Notamacropus eugenii: one gene and its partners. The protein of the gene in region 2 interacts with the protein of the main gene of each other region in a pairwise test. Links are inferred from orthologs where the notes say so. Each region holds a gene or a part of one and is shown on either strand. Other genes may lie near its edges.

Region 1 (7,538 bases), on a different chromosome or scaffold from region 2:
GGACAAGTCATTTCGTATACCCAAGTCTCAGTTTCCCTATATGTAAAATAGGGGTGGGAGTAGATTTCTAACGTCCCTTTCCTATTTGAATTAAATTTCCCTTACTTTACACTGCAGGCAAACTATACAGCCTTCCACCTCTTGCCTTCAATATTGCCTCTCTCATCTCTGTAGCTTTTGCTCAATCACACCTGGAATTTTTGAAGTTCCTTATTTCCTCCTTGGAAGCTCCATTAAGCCTCTCCTCTTCTTTTCCCCAAGCTGAAGTTAATATCTTCCTTATCAAATTTCTCATGGAAATAGACTTCTCCTTTGCAATTTTTTTGTCTTGTATCATATGTATTTGTGTTCATGTTGTTCTCTCTACTAAATTCTGAGCTCTTTTGAAAGGTCTGCAACCCAGAAACTAATACAGTGCCTGGAACATGGTAGATATTTAAAAGCTCATTCATTTGAACTGACTTACTCTACAGAATTCAGAGTTGGAAGACTTCCAATAATGGGAATCCCACAATTTCTACTATTGGGAAGCTCTAACTATTTGTTGGGAAGTTTCTCCTGATCTTAAGCCAAAGTTGGTCCCCTACACTTCTCTTAGTTCTGTTGTCAGGGACCAAACAGAATAAGTTTAATCCCTCTTGCATGTGTTTCAAATACTGAAAGATGGCTCTGATGCTATCCCTGAATCTTCTCCAAACTAAACATTTCCAGTTCCTTCAATCTATTCATCAAGTTGGACCACTTGCATTCTTTCTCCCATTAATTGGAGAGGGTGGAAGGTGGACATCAGTGAGTTCCTCTTAGATCTTCCATTCATTGAGAGGGCCCAGGGCCACCATCTCTTAATTTCCCATGATGAAGGACTTCATCATGCCCTTTTAACAGGTATCTTTGTTCTTCCCTCTCCCTCACCCTTCTCTTTTCATTTTCTTTTTATGTCATTTTCCCTCATTAGATTGTGAGCTCCATTTTTTGTGTATTTCCAGTGCTTAGCATAGTACCTGATACATAGTAGTAGCTGAATTGTTATTGACTGACTTCTCCAATTTCACTATACACTGGTACAGAGTAGGCACTATTCCAGTGATATACTCCCTTTCACATTTCCACTTGTGGAAAACCATTCTTTCTTCAAGGCAAGTACAATGTTACTTCAAACTGTCCAATTACCTCACTCCAAATTTTTCACCCCAAAAATCCTCAAATTTTTTATTATATTCTACCCTGTATGTATTTATTTGTGTACATGCCTTATCCCCAGTAAATTGAACAAAATCCATTCATTCAGGGGTTATATAGCTTTTTACCTTTTTATATGTAGCTTCTAACAGTTCCTTGCACTTAGCAGGGGCTTTAAAATACTTACTGAGTTAAATATTCCTGAGATACAATAGATATAAGGAGTGAGAAGAATTTTATTTAACTCCTAAGGTTAATGGGAGGTAAAACATAAAGGAAGAAACAGACATAAAACCAATAGGAAATTTAAATTAAGCAATTTTCCTGCCAATTTTTTCCTCCATGAAGATCTACATACCTTCTTCTCTGCACAGCAGAATTCCTCTCCCTATTCCCACTTGATGATCTGGTTCATCAAGCTCTCTTTCCAAATTCTCCAACAGAATCACTGCTGCCTCTCCACTCTCTGGATGGTGTTCTTGCACCCAAGTATGAAGTTCTTCAGGAAGGATGGTCAGGAATTGTTCCAGCACCAGCAACTCTAGGATCCTTTCCTTTGTATGCATTTCTGGTCTTAACCACTGATGACAAAATATCTGGAGTTGACTGAGGGCCTCTCTGGGGCCTGGTGTCTCCTGATAGCATAGTTGACGAAAACGTTGGCGGAAGAGTTCCCTTTCCTGGGGATTATTTCTTTGCAGGCTGAATTCTTGCCCGCTGCAGTGGTCTTTCTCCTCCATTTTCTCTGTAAGCAACCCTTCCTGTCCCACTAGAGCCTGCACTCCCAGGGTTACAGCCTCCCTTAATTTTGTATCCGTTGGAGACTTCTAAAGCTCAAGAGATAGCTTATTCCAGCAAGAAAAGTTCTTTTCTTCAGGTATCAGTCCTGAGTTACAAAAATTGCTGTTAATATGGAGAAATGACATATGGTACTAAGAACTGACTTACAGGTATATATATATACACACACAGAGAGAGACATATATGTAAACATGTGTATATATGTATATATACATATACATGTGTGTATATGTATTTTTATATATATTCAGCCATAAGGGTGATTTACTGAAAGCAAGGTCACTTTGTGACAGGGAGAATAAGCACAATTAAAGGTAATAGCAATTCAGACACATAAATCATTCACCTTATAAACCAAAAGCAGAAAACTAGGATTTTACTTAGAACTGTTAGAGATCTGTATCTATCATGGAAGCAGTTAAGTAAAGTAACCAATAGAAATATTGTGCCTGTCCTTGGATCTCTAAATTCTTGAAACTCTGAAACATCCGAAAGCTTCAAATAGAGAACTTCCAAGTTTATATTCAGTCATTTACTGATTACACCTTGTTTAGTTCTGAATCTTCCTAACTGCACTACTTTCTAGCTCACATCTCTCCGTCTTGACCAGAACAGTTTTTGTCTCGACTTTTCTAAAATCTAGGTAAACTATATGGGTAGCATTCCCATAACCTATTAGAATAATAACTAACATTTTCTAAAAAGGAAATAAGGTTAGTCTAGCATAACTTATTCTTAAAGAAGCAAGGCTGCTTCTTTGTAATCACTGCTTATTTTTTTTTAATAGGTTCACTGACCCTCCCAAGCAAGCTGCATGGTAGCCCCAGAGGCCAATGTCTACTTTGGTTCTCTGGCCCCAGTGTAATCACAACACCCCTCCTCATAGCACTCTCTCTGCCAGGGTTCAGAGCTGGTCTGGGGAGAATAGGGAGGTGATTGCTCCAAATCCACCCCCTTCCAGCTGATAGAGGGGGAAACCCTTAGGGCCACAGCTGGACAGATCTCATTTCCAGGACCAACTCACCTAAAACGGGTTAACTGGGGAGAAGGGTACGCTCAGTCCTGAGCCGCAGGAAAGGAGGTAAAGGATAGAACTCAAGGCAGGAACACTAGTCAGACCTAACAAATACCAACCAATCGTAAAGCACCAGTTATTTCCGGGACTCTCTAGGAATTCTCCTCTCGTTTTCCCAGCGCCAGATCTCTTCACCCCTTGAATCTCCATCCTCTGATATTACACAGGCTCTTTTCTAACCATTTAAAGCCAGTATCCTGGCTGGTGTTCAGCTAGCTTAGAGGAAACTGGAAAAGCTAGTACTGAAACTGAAAATTTTGATCCCTAAAGCAAAACCTGCAGGTTGGGCCTCCTTGCAAAATATTGAGCAATAGTCCCCAAACTGAACCCTTTAAGTTACTGTACGTATGTGTGTATCTAATATATGTAATATGTATTATGCACACTACATATATACATATATGTATATATACACATATATACAGTTACTATGTATAGTAACTGTACAAGGTGTACTATTTATAAGATAAATTGAAGATAACAGAGAAGTTATTTGCAATAAGAGGATATTGGAAAAAGCTTTCTTTTAGAAGGTAAGATTTTTGCCTGGGATTCAAAGGAAGTCAGGGAAGAAAGTAAGTAGAGATGAAACAGAAGAGAATTTCAGGCATAGGGAATAGTCAGTGAAAATGGCCAGAGTAGGAAGATCAATTGTCTTAGATGAGGAACAGTAAGGAGGCCAGTGTCACTAGATCCTAGAGTAGGTGAGGGTGAATAAGGTATAAGGAGACTAGGAAAGTGGGAACGGTTTTGAATGTCAAAAATAACACTTTTTATTTTATATTCTAAACTTCTTGGAGTTTGGCTCCAGATTGCATATTCCATCAGAAACTGTTCTCTCCAAAGTTACTAATTATCTTTTAATTTCCAAATCCAATCACTCCTCAATCTACTTAACCTTTCTGTAGCCTTTTTTAAAAATTAAAAAGAAAAATTGACATTCATTTAAAAAGAAATTCAGTTTCCATTTCTTTCCCTCCTTTCAGCCCCTCTCCCACTTGCTGAGAAGGCAAGCACTATGATACCTATTATACACATGAAGTCATACAAAACATATTTCCATATTACTTGCTGTTTAGTTAATTGGTCATGTCTGGCTCCTCTTGACCCCATTGGGGGTTTTCTTGGCAAAGATACTGGAATGATTTTCTACTTCCTTCTCCAGGTGATTTTATAGCTGAGGAAACTGAGGCAAACAGGGTTAAGTGGCTTATTCAGGGTCACACAGCTACTGTCTGAAGCCAAACTTGAACTCAGGAAGGTAAGTGACTCTAGGCTCAGCATTCTATCCACTATGCCACCTAGCTGCCATGTGGCCAAAAAAATTAGGAAAAATAAAGAAAGCGGAAAAAATATGCTTCAGTCTGCACCAACTTCATCAGTTCTCTTTACGAATATGCATAGCATTTTTCATCATGAGTCCTTTGTGATCATCATCAGAGTAGCTAAGTCTTTCATAGTTAATTATTGTTAGAATATTACTGTTACTGTGAAAACATTCTGGTTCTACTCACTTCACTTTGCATCAATCCATATAAATCTTCCCAGGTTTTTCTGAAAGTATCCCCTTCCTTATTTCTTTTTTTCAATTTTTAAACATTTTAATTTAAAGTTTTGGATTCCATATTCTATCCCTCCCTCTACTCTCCCTTTCCTGAGATGGTAAGCAATCAGATATAGGTTATACATGTGAAATCATATAAAATATTTCCATATAAGTCATTCTGTACAAGAAGACTCAAACAAAAGAAAAAAATGAAAGAGTGAAAAATAGCATGCTTTATTCAGTATTCAAACAATATCAGTTCTTTCTTTGGAGGCAGATAGTATGCTTCATCATTAGTCCTTTGGGATTGTCTTAGATCATTGTATTGCTGAGAAGAGCTAAGTCATGCACAGTTCTTCATTAAACAATTTTGCTATTACTGTGTACATCGTTCTCCTGTTTCACGTCTCAATATTCACTTTACAATGTTCACTTTACTATGCGTCAGTTCATGTGAGTCTTTACAGATTTCCCTTCCTTATTTCTTAATAACACAAATGGTATTGGTCATAATCACATACCACAACTTGTTCAGCCATTCCCCAATCAATGGTCATCCCTCAAATTCTAATTCTTTGCCACCACAAAAAGATTTGCTGTATTTTTGTACATATAGATCCTTTTCCTTTTCCTTTGATCTCTTTGGGATACAGATTTAGTATTGGTATTGCTGAGTCAAAGGGTATCAAAACTTTGTAGCTCTTTGGGCATAGTTCTAAATTTTTCTCCAGAATAGTTGGATCAGTTCACTGTTCCACCAACAGTTCATTAAGACAATGCTCTCATGGTCTCCCAGTCACCAATGGAGTGAAATAAGGCTGTGTGGTTGCTCCCATGCTTTTTAGCATGTTTTCAGTCGTGTTGTCAAATGTTTTCAATGAGGATGAACATGGAATCAAGGTTAGCTACCGCATTGATGGTAAATTCTTCAACTTGAAAAAGCTACAAGCCAAGACCAAAGTGGAGGGAATGTTGGTGCATGATTTTCTGTTTTCAGATGATTGTGTGCTCAGTGCACCCCCTGAAGGTGAGATTCAACATGGTATGGATCAGTTCTCTGCTGTTTGTGCTAATTTTGGCCTAATAAGACGAAGAAAACATAGGTGTTCCATCAGCCACCACCACACCACCCATATGTGGAATCATTGGTTACAGCAAATAGAGAAGTTTTGAACGCTGTGGATAACTTTACTTACCTTGGTAGTATACTTTTCAGGGATATACACAGTGATAATGAGGTTGGCGCACACATTGCCAGAGCCAGTTCAATTTTGGGGAGGCTCTAAAGGAAAGTATGGGGGAGAAGAGTTATTAGACTGACTACCAAATTGAAGGTCTACAGAGCCATTATGCTGACCTCATATTGTATGCTTGTGAAACCTGGACAGTATACCAGCTCCATACCAGGAAACTGAATCACTTCCATTTTAGTTGTCTCAGGAAGATTCTGAAGATCACCTGGCAGGATAAGGTACCAGACACTGAGGTCCTTTCTCAAACTAAACTGCCAAGCACTCAAATTCTGCTTCAGAGAGTGCAATTCCACTGGGCTGACCATGTTATTAGAATGCAAAATGTACATTTGCATAAATGACTATTTTACAGAGAATTCAGGGCAAGCGTTCACATGGTGATCAGAAGAAGCTATATAAGGACACTCTCAAGGTCCTTCTTAAGAAATTTGGAATTGATTGTATGACATGGGAAATGCTGGCACAGGACCTCTTAGAATGGCGTGTCCACATCAGAGAAGGTGCTGTGCTCTATAAGTAAAGCAGAATTCAAACAGCTCAAAGGAAACACAGGATGAGTAAATTTAAAGAATTCACCCCAAATGTTCACACAGACCATTTGTGCCCAAGCCGTGGTAGAGCATTCCAAGCTTATATTGGTCTGATCAGCCACAGTCAGACACATTGAAACTTGACTCTAGTACAGTGATGTCATTTTGATCCTCTCTGAGAATGAATTACAAAAACCAACCAACCCAGGTATTTATTTTTCCAAACCCTTAGCATTTATCATTTTCCTTTTCTGGCACATTAAAGAATCTATTAGGCATAAGATAGTACCTCAGAGGTGTTTAATTTGAATTTGTCTAATTATTAATGATTTAGGGCATTTTTTCCATATGACTTGATAGCTTTGATTTCTTCTGAAAACTGCTTGTTCGTATCATTTGACTATCAATTGAGGGATGACTCCCATTTTCATAATTTTGTCTCAGCTCCCTATACTTTTGAGAAATGAGATCTTTATCAAAGAAACTGTATAAAATTTTTTCTAATTTTCTGCTTTCTTTCTAATTTTGTCTGAATAGGTATTGTTTGTACAAAACCTTTTTAACATAATCAAAATTATCTATTTTGCTTTCTATGATTCTCCTTATTTCTTATTTGGTTGTGTACTCTTCCCTTATCCATATATCTGACAGATAATTTTTTCCAAGTCCCTCTAATTTGCTTATATCACCCTCTATGTCTAAATCATGGTTCCATTTTGACCTTATCTTGGCATATAGTGTGAGATATTGGTCTATGCCAAGTTTATTCCACACTTCTTTCCAGTTTTCCCAGCAGCTTTTGGCAAATAGTGAGTCTTGTCCCAAAAACTTGGATCTTGAATTTATCAAACACAAACTTGTGGTCATTTATAATTCTGCTTGAACAGTATGACATCTGATACTGTTATACTTCCATCTTTCACTTTTTTCATTAATTCCCTTGATATTCTTGACCTTTTATTCTCTTCTGAATTTTAAAATATGATATAACATTTTATTTCTCCCTAATTACATACACAGCAATCTTTAACACTCATTTTTTAAAATTTTGAGTTCTCAGTTCTCTTCCTCTCTGCCCCATCCCATTGAGAAGGCAAGCAATTTGACATTGGGCAATCATGCAAATCATATGTCCATGTTAGTCATGTTGTAAA
Region 2 (7,123 bases):
CTTCATTTTACAGATGAGAAATCTGAGACCCAAGAAGGTAAAGCAAATTTTCCAAAATCTACCTTGTGTTGCTAATTACAGAAACAAGTTACATAAAATAGATCCATTCAGTTCTAATCCACACTAAGTTCAAAGCCAAAGGATAATTTTTACATTTACTGTCTCAAATTTCAGAATATTTTTTGTCTAGTTTCCTCACTTTTTAAAAAACATCCCACCACTTCATGTATAATGTGTGTAATTCTTGGTATACTTGCTGAACTCAGGATTCATTTGTGAATGAATAATTTTCAGTTATATTATACCACCTCATCCATTAATAATGATTTAATGAGCTTTCACAGATGTCACTAACATTAGATTCTTCTAAAAGAAGAATGATAAAGAAAAACCTTGGATGAGTTATAGGGAGCCTCCCAAAGAAAGTCCTAACTTAAACTAGACATTTTATAATTTCATTTAAATTTTAAATTCTTAAAACATTTACCACGATGACACCCCTATATTGCCACCCAACCACATTCATGAAAATATTTTTGCTTAAAAGGAATTCTTAAGCATATAAAAAGAAAAAATGTTGAATATTGGTCAATGAAAAATCTTCGCTGACTCCAGTGCTTCAAAAGATACATTCCAGGGCAGAAAACATAGCTGAACCATTCTGCTACACTACCAATTATAAATCCCTAGCCACTGGTTTAATTCTGGTCCATTTATACGTTTATATTAAATTTAGATGTAGTGGGGGTGGCAGCTTGGTGGAATGCACGTTTTAAACATGATAACACCAGTCATCATACTTTCTAAGGCAATGAATGGCTGGAGCTTAATCAAATGCCAATCTCTTTCACCATAAATCATACGCCCACCTACTGGATGGCTTCTTCAAAGCAAAAGCCAACCGAGAAAAATATCCAGCAGCTAACACACTGGAAGTTCATGACCCTACAATAAAGTTTCGGGGAAAAAATGAAGAACTCCAAAATACAGAAACTGTGAAAACTCAACTCACACCAACACGGAGCAGATTTATCCAAAGCAAATCAATACACTTTTCGCAGAACAAACGCCGATTTTCGACGCAGTAGTATAAATACCAATACTATCTACTCGGGGCGTGGGAGCGAATACGAAGGATAGCTGAAGAAGAGGAGAAAAAAGTGAGAAACCGGGATGTCCCTCTCCTCCAATAAATAATTCCCCGGGTGAGAGGCGAAGACCGGGGAAAAGGAAGAGTGGTTGATTGGTGAATGAATGAATGAATTCCAGTACATCTTCTACACCTGCAACTACAAACTTAGACCTCCTCACCGAGAGGAAAAAAGCGTTCGAGGCTCACTAAGACAAAATACAAAATGAGGAAGGAGAGTTAAAAGCAAAAGAAAGGGCACGCGCTGGCCTGAGCCATTCATCCCAACACCCCGACGGCCGCTCTCCCTCCCCCACCCAAGGAGGCAGAGGTCTGGGCTAGGATGCAGAGCTCCGGTCTGAGCCAAAGGCGGCGGCGGCGGCGGCGGCGGCGGCGGCCGCGGGAGGCACGCACCCACCCCTCCCCCCAGCCCCGGGACAGCGACCGGCAGCTGCCGGGAGCCCTCGCCTCGTCCGCCTTCCCCGGGGCCCCAGGGGAGGGAGTGCTGCGGGGGAAGGGGGGAGCGTCCGGTGGGAGGGGGGAGCGTCCCGCGAGAGGGGCGCAGCCGGGGCGCAGCCGGGGCGGGGGGGAAGGAGGAAGAAGAGAGCATCCCGAGGGGGGGCGCCCGACGCGTCCCGCCCCGCCCCCTGCCCCGCCCCCAGGGGGGTCCGGGCAACTTTCCTCCGCGGGAACCCGGCGCCCCCCGAGCCTCCCCAGTCTGGAGGGACCAAGGGGGTGGAGGCGGGACGACGTCGGGGAGTCCGGACTCACTTTTTCAGATGTTTCTCTCTCTTCGGCCTCCGCTTTCGGGCCTGAATGGCCAGCACTGTGGGGGGTGGGGGGGAAGGGAAGAGAGAGAGACACACATTAACGGTTGGGGACGTTGTGGCCTCCGAGGGACGGGGCGGCGGGAAGGGCAGAGAGCTGAGAGGGCGCACACACCTTTCCGGGAGCTCATCCCGCTCAGGGAAGGGGCGGTGACGGGGAGCCGGAGCCGAAGCCGGAGCCGGAGCCGGAGCCGGGGGCTGCAGCCTCCTCCACTCGCTCCGCCAGTCCAGGAGGAGGCGGGAACCGCGCCTGCGCCACCGGCCGCCGCTCCCCGCGGGGGCCCAGCGCAGGACCCGCCCCCAGGGCCCGGCCCCGCCCCAGGCTCCGCCCCCGTCCCGGCCTGGGGGCCCCAGCCGCGGGCGTAGGTCTTGCCAGCTCCTGACACCCTCCCTCTCTATTCCCTCACCCTAGCTTCGGAGCGCCTCAACCTAAGCTGGCACAGAAGCGTCCTCCCCCAACCCCAGCCCCCACCTCGAGCTCTGCGGGACCAGCCCCGCCCCTCTCCCGGCTCTGGCCTCCTCCTCCAATGGCTCAGCCCCGCGGTCCTCCCTCGATCCGTCGCCCCTCCCTTCCCGTCGCTGCCCCCGCCCAGCCCCCATCCTAGGACTCACTCACCTTGGGTCGGGCTCCTGCCCTCGCGATCCCCCCATCCCTCCAAACTCCCGGTGAAGGTCGCTCCCGCATTTCTTCCCTCTTCTCGCTCACCAGAGGAGTCTTGACTTGGTCCAACACCATCTTGTCTCCTCCCGACCTGGCTCCGGTTCAGACGACCTCTTTTCTTTCCACTCAAGCCCCTTTTCCCCTTTTCCTCCATCTTTTCGTCCCTTAGTCCCCAAGTTGGTCCCTCCTTCCACCGTTCTCTTCGGATCGGTTTTGATCCCTTATCCCTAGGACCCAGGACCAGCTTCTCCTGCTCCTTTTCACAGGTATCTAAATTTAAAAAGCGGTGTTACATTTAGAGAACTCGACACAAACGTACCCCCTTGGTATAATATTGGCACAACTTTGATAGCCCTTTCAAGGCCAAGCCAAGTCACTCAGGTGTGAAACAACTTTCTTTTCTAACTCTTCTCAAAGGCTTAACTTGAAATACTGAAAAGACCGAATGTTGTTACTGTGGTTGAAAGAGCACTGGGTTCCGGAATCTGATGGCAATCTACATTCGAATCTAGATTCTTCTCTTGGCCTGGGTGACCTTGGAAAAGTCACTGTGCTCCTCTGGGCCATCATATCTTCACCTGTACAATGAGGATCTTGGACTAGGTGGCTTTTATGACCCATTCTCTGAATCTATGATCCTAAACTCTCCAAGATCCCTTCCATATCTGATTCCTATCACAGTTTAACCCTGTCTTTGTCATGGTATGAATTTAGACAAGGAGATGATCTCTAATGTTTCAGCTTCTAAAAACTATGAACGCAAATAATATATAACCTCACCAAGCATGTTTCCTCATGAGTAAATATGGAAGTCTTGATTTCTTTTGTGAGGAATGAGAGTATCATATCTTGTGAGATTATTGATGTGTGTGTGTATATATATATATAATATATATGCCATATATATTATATATATATATCCTCAGTGTAGGAGTGATCTTCCCAAAATGTTCATTTTTAGTGGAAAGTATTAGTTTAGGAAAAAATAAAGAAAGAAAAAGAAGGCTGATTATCTGTTTGAAATGTCCTTCCAATTGTGCCCCAAAAGATCCCTATTTTAAATAACTTTCAGCATCAATTAACAAGAATGCTTTAATAATATCACAGAATACTATACCAAAAGTTTTCAGAGATGTGCTAAAATCCTTAAATGTAGTCTTTTAAAAAAAAAAAGATTAAATACAGCCCTGGCACATTTATTGAAGACCAGCAGAAGGTACCCTACCTATAAATGAAAAGTTAAAAGAGTCAAAGCAATAAAAGCATCAAGAAAATAAAAAGGTAATGTTATTATCCTGCTCATTCAAATCACAAGATTTAGAACTAGAAGTCAACATTAGTCAAGGCCTACTATGTGGCAAGTACTATACTGAGCATTGGGGTGCAAAGAAAAGCAAAAGATAATTCCCGCTTTCCAGGAATTCACAGTGATCATTATACTCCAATCTCATACAGATGAATGAATAAAGCATTTTAAGTTGTTTATTTTGTTGCTTATTGTGTTCTTTTTTCAGTTATGTCTGACTATTTGTGACCCTATTTGGAGTTTTCTTGGCAGAGATATTGGAGTGGTTTCCCATGCCCTTCTCCAGCTCTTATTACAGATGAGGACACTGAGGCCAATCAGGGGTTAAGTGACTTGCTATGGGTCACACCATTACTAAGTGTCTGAGGGCTGATTTGAACTCAGGAAGCTGTATCTTCCTGACTCCAGGTTCTGTATCCACCATGTGACAATCACCTTGCTTACCTCTTTAGATAGAAGTAGAAAAAGTTAATAGCCCTTACTCTCTCAAGGATTTCATACTATATTTGGCAAAGACATCACGTTCAGTTCTAAGTAGGGAAAGACAATACAGTGTGGACAGGAAGGCTCTGAAGATGTAAGGGTACAGTTTTAGGGCAGATGGTAAGATCCAGGAGTCCTTAGATAGAGAAAAACAGAAAATGAAACCAAGGCCCAGGGAAAGGCTTGCTTGAGATCACACAAGTAGTGAAGTAGCAGAATTAGTATTCAAGCCCAGCATCTTTGACACTAAATCCAGTTTACTAAGTTGCCTTCATAATTGGCTACAATGAAGTTTTCAAAAGTACATCAGCTATTTCATTGTCAGAGAAGTTTTATAAATGTATCCTTACCTCAAGGTTGACTAGCCATAACATTTATGAAAACATGTAATGTTCTAAAGGATACTATATAGCCTAAATGTATCTTTTGGATGTAAAACTTAAATGTGTTTGTTCTTGTGACCAAAATGTGAGTACATTTCTATAAATTAAGGGAGGATAACACTTGTGGCCCAGTATTAATAATGCAATATTTGCAAAGTGCCTTGAATTTCTTTAATAAAAATATAACTTCATCATCATCAAACAGCATTTATTAAATACTTAACCATGATACTTGTCTTATTGCTATATAAATTAAGAGAGTCAGAATTTGGGGGCTAGAAGAGACACAGAGAACTACCAAAATATGAATAATAATGATACCAGGTCATATTTTATAGCATTTTATGGTTTCCAAAGTATTCTCCTTACAACAGCCCTGTGAGAATGGTAATATAATCCCCATTTTACAGATAAGTATCCTGAGGCTTAAAAAACTTAAGTGACATCTAAGGCAGCTAACTGGTAGAGTACTGGGTCTTAAATCAAGAAGATCTGAGTTCAGATCCAGCCTCAGATATTTACTAGATGTATAACCCTAGGCAAGTCACTTAACCTTTGACTGTTTCAGTTTTCTCAACTATAATATAAGGATAATAATGCCATCTACTTCACAGGGTTTTTATGAAGATCAAGAGAAATTATCTTTGTAAAGCATTTAGCATAGTGTCTAGCATATGGTAGACACCTGTCAACCAGACTAGAACCAGTTTCTAATCTTCTTGTTCCCTTTCCTTTCCCTGAAAAGTTTAATGGAACTGGGTTTCAAATTCAGATCTAGATTGAGTCCAAATCTAGTACTTTTTCTTTTTTTTTTTATTTTACTATAGTAACTCTCTCACTAATCTGTACAGTTTAGAAATTTACTCCCTATAAAGCTAATTCTTATCTTTACAAATGACAAAGTTGTTTGAAAGAAGACTTCAGGGAACACACAAGTGAAAAGCAATATAGTAAAAAAAAAAAAAAAAAGCATACATTTCCTTTATTTTAAAATGAAATAAAAGGTTCTAGTGCCATATGATAAAACATATCAAGGATGATAAACAGTTGGATAGGCAAACCATAGAGCTCATCTATTAGTACATATATCCTGGAAAGATACTACCAATGAACAATGAGTTAGGTCCACAACTGAACAGGAGGAGGAAGGAGAGCTGGAAGGCCTGTGGAAAACTGCACAGTTCATTTAGTGATCCCAAGCTTCTCCACAAAACAAAAGCCCATCTTTCTGACATCAATAGTTTCCCGGTAATGTTGCATGCCTTTGAGTAATGAAACACTATGGTCTCCAAACAACTGAAATTAAGGATTCCCAAAGAATAAAGGAAAGATGCATGGTTTGTGGCTGAAATATAAGTGGCAATACATTACAAGGGAGGACTTACACGGTAGAAACTGTATAACAAATGTCATCAGAGAAATTTATCACTGGAAAAAGAAGATGGGCCAGTCACACAGCAAAAGCAAAGGAAAACTGAAGGATAGCACATATGTTTCAATGTCACAAACTTGCAAGAAAGTGCCTACTACAGCAGCACATATGCTAAAATTGGAATAATAAAGAAATTAGTATGACTCATGTTCAAGGTTGACATACAAATTCATGAAGCAGTCTTTAATGTATTTTGTTTATTTTTGCAGGGGATGGGAAGAATGCTTGTTTTTTTATTTGACAATACTTATTTGTTACAAAGTGAAGGCATTTATTTTGGGAAGAGGAAAGTCTTAGGGAGGGAGTTGGAGTAGTGATAGTAATGACAAAAAATGAAGAAAAGTGTAAATTAAACATTAAAACACAGTCAAAGAGCAGAAGGTGGCACAGAAAACAGGACAGTGTTGATACTTCTCTATTAAACTTAACATACACTTGTAAAAAACAGTATATAATAGATATTAAGGTGAAGATTTCATATGCACATTTTTTCTACTTTTCTTTATAATCAGAAACTTTTATGTTTGTTGGTATTTGTCAAATTTGGAATAAAAAATATTTCAAAGAAAGTGTGAGGAATACCACCAGCATATTGGGAGTACCTTTTATGGTGGATTTATTGAAGGTTGTTAACAACTAGACTAGGATAGACAATCATGAACACTTTGCGGTCCTTGATGAGAGTACCCACATTGACATCACAGATTCCATTAGAGCATAATCAGGGATCACAGAATGAAAGATTCAGAGCTCAAAGAGACCTTAGATATCATCTAGTTCAATGCACTCATTTTACAGGGGAAGAAACTGAGGTCTAAGGAGCTGAAGTTCACTGAGTCATTGCAAAGTTTAACCTAAATTCCAGAACACTAATGATGAAACATGCTACCCACATACTTCAT
Region 3 (7,069 bases), on a different chromosome or scaffold from region 2:
ACTACCACAACTAAGGTCTATTTAACTTTAATTAGGGAACTTTCCCAAATAATACAGTCTCAGTAGGAAAGAGCATCTGGGAGAAGTGGAAATTGAAGGTTGGTCTGGTCCTTCCGAATAATATGGGGAAGCATGGTGGCACAAAATCCTTCCTATCAGGGAAGCTGAGGTTGGTGAACCTCTTGAGCTAGGGAGCTCAAAGCCGCAGTGGACTCTGCTGATCAGTTTCTGAACTAAGTGTGGAATCAATATGATGAGCTCTGGGGAGCTGTCAGGGAGGAGCCAGGCTGTCTAAAGAGTGGAGAATCAACTGGGAAAAAGCTCTGGTGCAGATCAGGTACTATGTTTCTGTCTTAGAAGCGGACTGGAGATGGAATTTGAAATAGCCTAAGACTGAAGTGGGAAAATACGTAAGTTCTTGGAGGAAAGCTGGAGAGTTAGAGCTACAGTGACTAAGATCCTGTTAAGGGGTGTCTCTTAGATAGAAAAGGATATACAATGGGATTCCCATATCCAGAAGAGAGGGAAAGAAACCTTGTCAGGGGATATAATTCTCAAACAACATGGCCCCTCCTTACTAACTACCCTGATCTGCTGAGTCATGAAAACTGGTTCTAAAAACAGAGTAGCAAAGTATTCAAATACAAAAGGGTAAGGAGTTCAACAGAGAATGGTAATGGGAAAAAAAACACGCTGGCATTGAGAGAGACAAGTAAATAGATTGTTGAGGTATTCTAGTCTTCAAAATGGGGGAAATGAGATTTAAATAAATGTCAAAGAGTACAGAAATCCATATGACCTGTTTCCCAACAAACTGCTACTTTCCAAGTCCAAAGCATCCTCACCTCAAATCAAATCCTCACCACATCCACACTGGCTGAGGAGAAAGATCTTACAAAATATTGGAGAAGCTGAGGTTTTAAAAGAAGTTTCAGCTACCTGTGTATATGTAAAGGGGTGGAGTGAAGTGGGGGGGGAGAACCCTCTTTTCTCTCATCTAGATGATTCTTACTAGAGACCAATCTTGTCTAGAAGCTGTCCCTAGATACCAGGTAACAAAGGAATGAGAGAAGACTAAATGTAACATTTTATAGACTACCTCTGACCTAATCTCAAATCCTTTCTCCTAGAACCTGAAGAATTTATGATTGGGGATTTAGAGAGAATACAATACAAAAGGAGGGCAAGGGGCCCACATGATGAAGTAGGTATCTGGAAGCACATTTCAACGAAGAAACAAGGAAACATAAAGGGAAAAGAGGTTAAGAACAAGCATATGCTACCAGACACAGAAGGGAATCAGGAATGGAGGAATTTCTGCCAGGTCAAATAGGAATGCTGCTTAAGGGGTGAGTTCAAGAGGAAACAAGAGTCTACTCTGAGGTGCTATTATGAAGACTCTGTGTTATCACATGGTCCAGAATTGAAAGGGAAGCCCAGGATTTAGGAAAGAAATGACAAAGAATCAGCTAAGGAACCTCTTTTTGCTGAAGAAAGATTTAAGGAAGTTTTCTGGAAATAAGGATTCAGATTGGTTAGGCGAAGTTTACATAGTTAACTACTTAGATTAGGGAGTGAGCTGAGACCCAGGTTACCAGAGATGAAAACTCTCTGATGAGAGAAATGCGAGTACACACCATGGCAAACACCAAATCCTTTTTAGTCATAATGCGAAATATGCTTTGGGGAATAAAGGGAGCAGAATGGCTCAGAGGCATAAGGGTCTGTTGGGTAAAGGACAAGGGGGAAGGGAGGGCAGAATCTCTCCCCACATGTGGTGATAGAGGAGAAATATCAACAAACATTTATTAAGTAACTATTTGCTAGGAACTGGATAAAGACAAAAATGACAATCTGCCCTCAAGGAACTTACATTCTAGTTCTTCCAGATGTAGGATAGGCTACAATATATGTTCAAACTCAGGCCTGGGAGGTAGAACAAAAACGTTGGCAGGGTATAAGTTACAAGGATGTCCCCTCCCAGCCCCCCCATATTAGAGAATTAAGGAGAAGAAAATCTTTGGGAAGCAGTGAGTCTTCAACTTCAGTTATTTTACCTATGAAAGGATACCCCAGAAACCAAATTAGGGGTGGGTAGAAAAGGGTGTGGATAAAGGGAGGGAACCTCTGCAGAAATGCCTTCAGAGGGGAGCTTGGGGACAGAAAAGGGTCCTCCAAAGGGACTCCTAAAAAAAGAGCTGTAGGAGAATGCCCAAATAGGGAAAGTTACTAGGGAACATTCTAGAAACAGAAATGCTTTAGGGAAAAATAACAGGGGATGTATCCACTCCTAGGAGAGGGGTCCACTTGAGGTCCTCTTGGAGGAGAACACAGGCTCCGTTTGGGGAATGACATCGGTAATGTAAAAGTGCATACATGTACTGGTCCTTACCCGGATCAAGCAATATTCTAGGTAGGTCTTGCGTGGAAAGTAGAGGTATGGAGGTAGAGGACTTGTATAATGAAGCCATCGACGAATGAGAAAGCAAAATGAATGGCAGAGCACAGACTTCCTAGAGGTCAGGGGGTGCTACAGCTGTTAGAGCTGGGGTTCAGCTTTTTTCTCCCTCAGTTGGGGAATACGAAGTGGGAGGGGCTCTGCCTGAGATAATGGACCGAAGATGGGGGTGGGGGTGGGTTACACAAAGACACAATTCAAGTCTCAGCAGCCCTAGGTGACTACAGAAGGGAAGGTCAGCGGTGCAATGAGCAGCAAGGGTGTTCCTGCGCTGAGGTCCCTGCCCCGGGAAGGAGGGAAGAAGCAGGCGAGGGGCCTGGAGCAGCCACGGGGGGAAGGGACGGGGACAGGCCCAGGGAGTGTCTCCTGGAGGTGGGTCGGGGGGTGGCCGAGGAGGAGTCCCGACAGCCCCGCGCTTCCCCGGCCCGCAGGCGGGCAGGTGTCCCCGGCCGGCGCGCCGCCTCACCTTGTAGAAGGCCCCGTTGGAGCCACGCACCTCGACCGGCAGCCCCGGCTCCATGTCCCTCCCGACAGCTAGGCCGCCCATGGAGGGGCCGCCGCCTGCGGCGGCTGCTGCTGCTGCTGCGGCGGCGACTGCTCCTCCTGCTCCTCCTCCGGCGGCGGCGGCCTGAGCTCGGGCCGGGCCGGGCCCCCTGCGTCGCCCCCCCGGGGGAGGAGGAGGAGCTGGCGGGGACGCCGCAGGGGGCGGGAGCCGGGCAGGCCCCACACCGGCCCCGCCACAGCCGACGAGCAGGGGGCCGGGGCCGGGCCGCTCCCCGTCCGCCGCCGCCTCGGTCTCCGCCACTGTGAGGGAAATGGCCGCCGCCGCCGTCTCCTCAGCCACTGCCTCAATCCCGGGAAGCCGCCGCCACCACCACCTCCGCCGCTGCCGCCGCCGCCGCCGCCGCCTCCGCCTCCGCCTCCTCCTCCTCCTCCTCCTCCTCCTCCTCCTTCTCCTCCACCTCCCTCCCCCCTTCCTTCCCTCCCCCTACCGCCGCCGCCACCGCCGCCGCCGCCGGCGCTACTACCTACTGCGCAGGCGCGCTCGGCACCCTCCCGCCCCGCGCCCAGAGACAGGAGAAAAAACACGGCGCAGGCGTCGAGGAGCGCGTGACCGTGAGTGGTTAGCGCGCGCACCCGAGCTGGAGCCTTTAACCCTAACCCTAACCCCTAATACAACACACCGCACGCACGCACGCACGCACACAGCTACGCTTGCGCAGAAGGGACCACCCCTTCCAAGGGCGTGTCGAAGGGCGCAGCGGCTGCTTATGTCACTTTCTCCCACTTTCCCTCCTCCCCCAATTTCTCTTTTGTCTGCCCAGCTGCGCAGACTCGTAGATGCGAGGGAAGGGAGCCGGGGAAAAGGTGGAAGGAGTCAGGTCGAGGTGTCCGCTTCGTGCGCGTGCGCCGGCGGAGCGGCCGCTGCGGTGCTCCTTCATCCTTGGGGCTTTAAACCTTTCATAGCGTTGGGGGGGGGGGGGGGACATTAGTGGGAGCGGAGTCGGGACGTATGTAGCCTCTAAGTGCCGGCACTGGCTGGATGTCCGTCCGTCCAGCGCACGCTTGCTTCCTGTTCGCTGAGACATTAAAGGCGTGTAGAACACACACATACACGAAATGCGCTTGTTAAAATGCATTTTAAAGCAATCCGTAATTTAAATGGTGGAATTAAATCATCAAATGAGAGGCAGAGGGGTGTAAAAGCCCCGAAGGCAAGGACATAGGTCTTCTAGTCACTAGCCCTGCGGTCGGGGGAAACCACCTAAATACTTTGTGGGGCAATTCTCTGACTGTCAGAATTGGCAGAGGAAGTTTCCTCACCGGGAGTTCCCCACAACAATGAAGTCACAGGTGCAGCCTTCGTCCCTTTCCCCAGACAAAAAAAGAGCCCCTGCTGGCCGGAGCGAGCCAGTCCGTGCTGGAGGGCCGGGGCGAGTCAAAGGGAGAGAAGAAAGAACAGGATGTTCAGGGACAATGAGGAGGCAGTAACGTGATGCTGCTGGAAAGGAAGGAGCGAAAGGCCGGGGCCAGGCTGGCCAACAGATCAGCCACCCTGGGGAGTGTCTAAAAATAAGGACTGGCTGAGATTACATTCTTTCCTTCTGCAAATACAGCCCTTGAGGGCAGCAACTTTTCAAAGTTTTCCGGAAAAAAAAGCTTTTGCTCCCCCAGGGTTTAGTGCAGTGCCTGGCACACAGTAGGCTCTTCATGAATAGTGAACTGAATTACCTTTAGGAATCCCTTCTATCCTGTGGCACTGCGGTAAGAAATGGAGATGAGATGATTAACACTTTGTCCTACCCTCGAGGAACTTAGTCTTTTAGAGGGGTTTAGATCTGTGCACAGATAGGTAAAATGCAAAATAGGAAATAAGTGCATAGGAATTTAAAGTGCTAGGAGATTTACTGGGATTTCCTCCAAAAGTGATTCCCCCCTCCCAAATACCCCTCTTGATCTGGGGTAATCTCAATTCTTCCAGGCTCCAAATCTTTTGACTCAATACTTTTCAGTCCCTTATGCTTCTTATATCCAACAAAGATACCCTTTGCCTTCTCCCCATGTGAGCTGAAGCAGGAAGGGGTGGGGGTGGGGGTGGGGGTGGGGGGGCAAAGTTCTTTTCCTTAAAAGGCACTGAAAACTGTCCTGGAGACTTAATTGGCTCTGGGACTAAGGCTCAGGACACTTTCAGTAGCTTCCTGGTTGCCTAAGAACAAAAAGGGCCAGATGTAGGAGCTTCAACCCCTCCCTCTGTTCTGACCTTGGACCAGCTTGACCAACTTGGTTTAGGAAAGTTATGCTCAGCTGAATCAACATTACATCTTCCCTAAATATCCTTCTCCTGCTCTTGAAATATCTGTCAGATGGACTACAAAATGCCACATTTCATCCTAATCTCAGACCGGAGCCACTTGACCAGCCTTTTCAGCTCTGGCCTGCCAACTACGTATCTATTTCAGTATTTAAAAGTCCCACTCTACTCTGGAATTTGATTCCCCCAGTTCCAAGTGTATAGAGTATTTTGTGTAATCACAAGTGAAAATAGGGTTCAAACTTCAATCCAGTGCCTTATCTACCGAGCTAGAGTCATTCATTAAATAGCAAACTATTTTAATAGGTAGTAATAGCAATGTAAATAATAAAGGAAACTCATGCAGTTGAATAATTTTTCAATGCTCTTACACAAAAGAATATTCCCACAGACTCTTGCACTGATGAGAAAATTCCTCAGACAACTTATGATATTATTTAAGAAGGGATTCTGTGCAGTTGAAGCACCCAATATCTTCTTCAATACAAGGAATGTTTTAGCTCTTTGGTGAGACTACTCCTAATCAAAGTGCTGAGGGGCTAATAAACACACTTAGCTCTTGTTAAACATAGTGACCATACCTGGTTGACACTCAAGCAACTGTCAATATCTTTTTTCCCTTCACTCCATGCCACTCCCACTCCACCAAAGAAAACCCCTCTATCCTTCACTTGGTTTAGGATAAATGAATTCATTTCAACTCCCATCATAGAAATGAAAGTTAGTGCTTGGGCCATACAGATTATCTTGAAATTCCAATAAACCTCAAGGAGTTATTTAGCAATGTTTGGGGGATGGGGAGTAGATGTGGAGATGTGGGCTTTTGCCCTTTATCCCTGTTTATTAGCAGTGGTTCCTGTCATCCTTATCTGGGAGGCAACCAAAGCCTGCTTATTTTTTCTGAAAAATTTTTCTTCTATCCTTTAATAAAAAAATGGATATTTTTTTTAACTTTGAGAGTAACCTGTGTCAGACTAAATTATTGGGATTTTTAAGTGGATAATGTGCAAATTCCATTTTCTCATCTTCCCTTGGTTGAGAGGATGAAGGAATCAAGTTGGATTAGGGATTACATTTTTCAAAATCTACCTTTCAGTCAGAAGGCTGAAGTTTTCTTTGCCACTAAGGATACAAATAGAAAAGGCCAGTGTTCTTCAGATGGATAAATAACTAAATCCATGGGATTGTTTGGAGTCAGAACATTTTCATTTTGGGACTAATGGGAAAGGGATCTTTAGATTCTGTAGCCTAGAAGAAATTACTAAAGGCCAAAAAAGGCTTGAAGAAATCTAGAGGGAGAATAGTGTATAAGTTCCATCCTATCCAGTCTGGTACTAAAAAGTTTTCTTTTTACTCTAATTTCTAATTCCTTCATATATGTTATTTCTGAATTTGTATGTCTTATTTACCCTTATTTTAAAAAAATCTAGAAAATGCACTCCTGTGTTTAGTAGAGAAAGGGAGTGGTAATAAGAAAAAGAAGTGGGAGGGCAGACAGACCAGGGTGTCCAGTTAAAATGAGAGCAACAGAAAGTAAGTAATTAGCCACTGATTCTGACAGATCTCTGAATTTGGAGCCCCAAGCTGATTCAGAGAATGAGGAAGATCTGGAGAAATGGTTCCTCAATCAATGATCAAGGAAGGATTAGAAAGATGAAAATATTGGGAGGGAGGTATGTGTGTTTGTCCTTTGTTGCCAAAGAAGACCATGCTATCAGAGAAATAATGATATGACTTGTACTTGACTTTGTTCTGAGTGAGGAAGGGTTGTTCAGGTCACCAACCTCACTTCTCCTCCA

The links.
Region 1: the proteins of SRPK2 (region 2) and zinc finger and SCAN domain-containing protein 9-like interact in binary tests that used the Homo sapiens proteins (3 or more experiments, as listed by UniProt). The two-hybrid records come from large-scale screens. The link is inferred for Notamacropus eugenii from reciprocal best matches to the Homo sapiens genes SRPK2 and ZSCAN9.
Region 3: the proteins of SRPK2 (region 2) and FXR2 interact in binary tests that used the Homo sapiens proteins (3 or more experiments, as listed by UniProt). The link is inferred for Notamacropus eugenii from reciprocal best matches to the Homo sapiens genes SRPK2 and FXR2.

The regions. Positions count from the first base shown.
Region 1 is NC_092873.1:72,350,511-72,358,048, reverse strand, and holds the start of zinc finger and SCAN domain-containing protein 9-like, read right to left. Parts: upstream 3,107-7,538; 5' UTR 3,005-3,106; intron 2,066-3,004; 5' UTR 1,920-2,065; coding exon 1,538-1,919; intron 1-1,537. UniProt on the Homo sapiens protein: May be involved in transcriptional regulation.
Region 2 is NC_092874.1:150,434,226-150,441,348, reverse strand, and holds the start of SRPK2 (SRSF protein kinase 2), read right to left. Parts: upstream 3,056-7,123; 5' UTR 2,772-3,055; coding exon 2,663-2,771; intron 2,301-2,662; exon of another isoform or gene 2,088-2,300; coding exon of another isoform or gene 2,072-2,087; intron 1,956-2,071; coding exon 1,901-1,955; intron 1-1,900. UniProt on the Homo sapiens protein: Serine/arginine-rich protein-specific kinase which specifically phosphorylates its substrates at serine residues located in regions rich in arginine/serine dipeptides, known as RS domains and is involved in the phosphorylation of SR splicing factors and the regulation of splicing.
Region 3 is NC_092873.1:78,374,708-78,381,776, reverse strand, and holds the start of FXR2 (RNA-binding protein FXR2), read right to left. Parts: upstream 3,107-7,069; 5' UTR 3,006-3,106; coding exon 2,925-3,005; intron 2,483-2,924; exon of another isoform or gene 2,393-2,482; intron 1,927-2,392; exon of another isoform or gene 1,874-1,926; intron 1-1,873. UniProt on the Homo sapiens protein: mRNA-binding protein that acts as a regulator of mRNAs translation and/or stability, and which is required for adult hippocampal neurogenesis. Specifically binds to AU-rich elements (AREs) in the 3'-UTR of target mRNAs.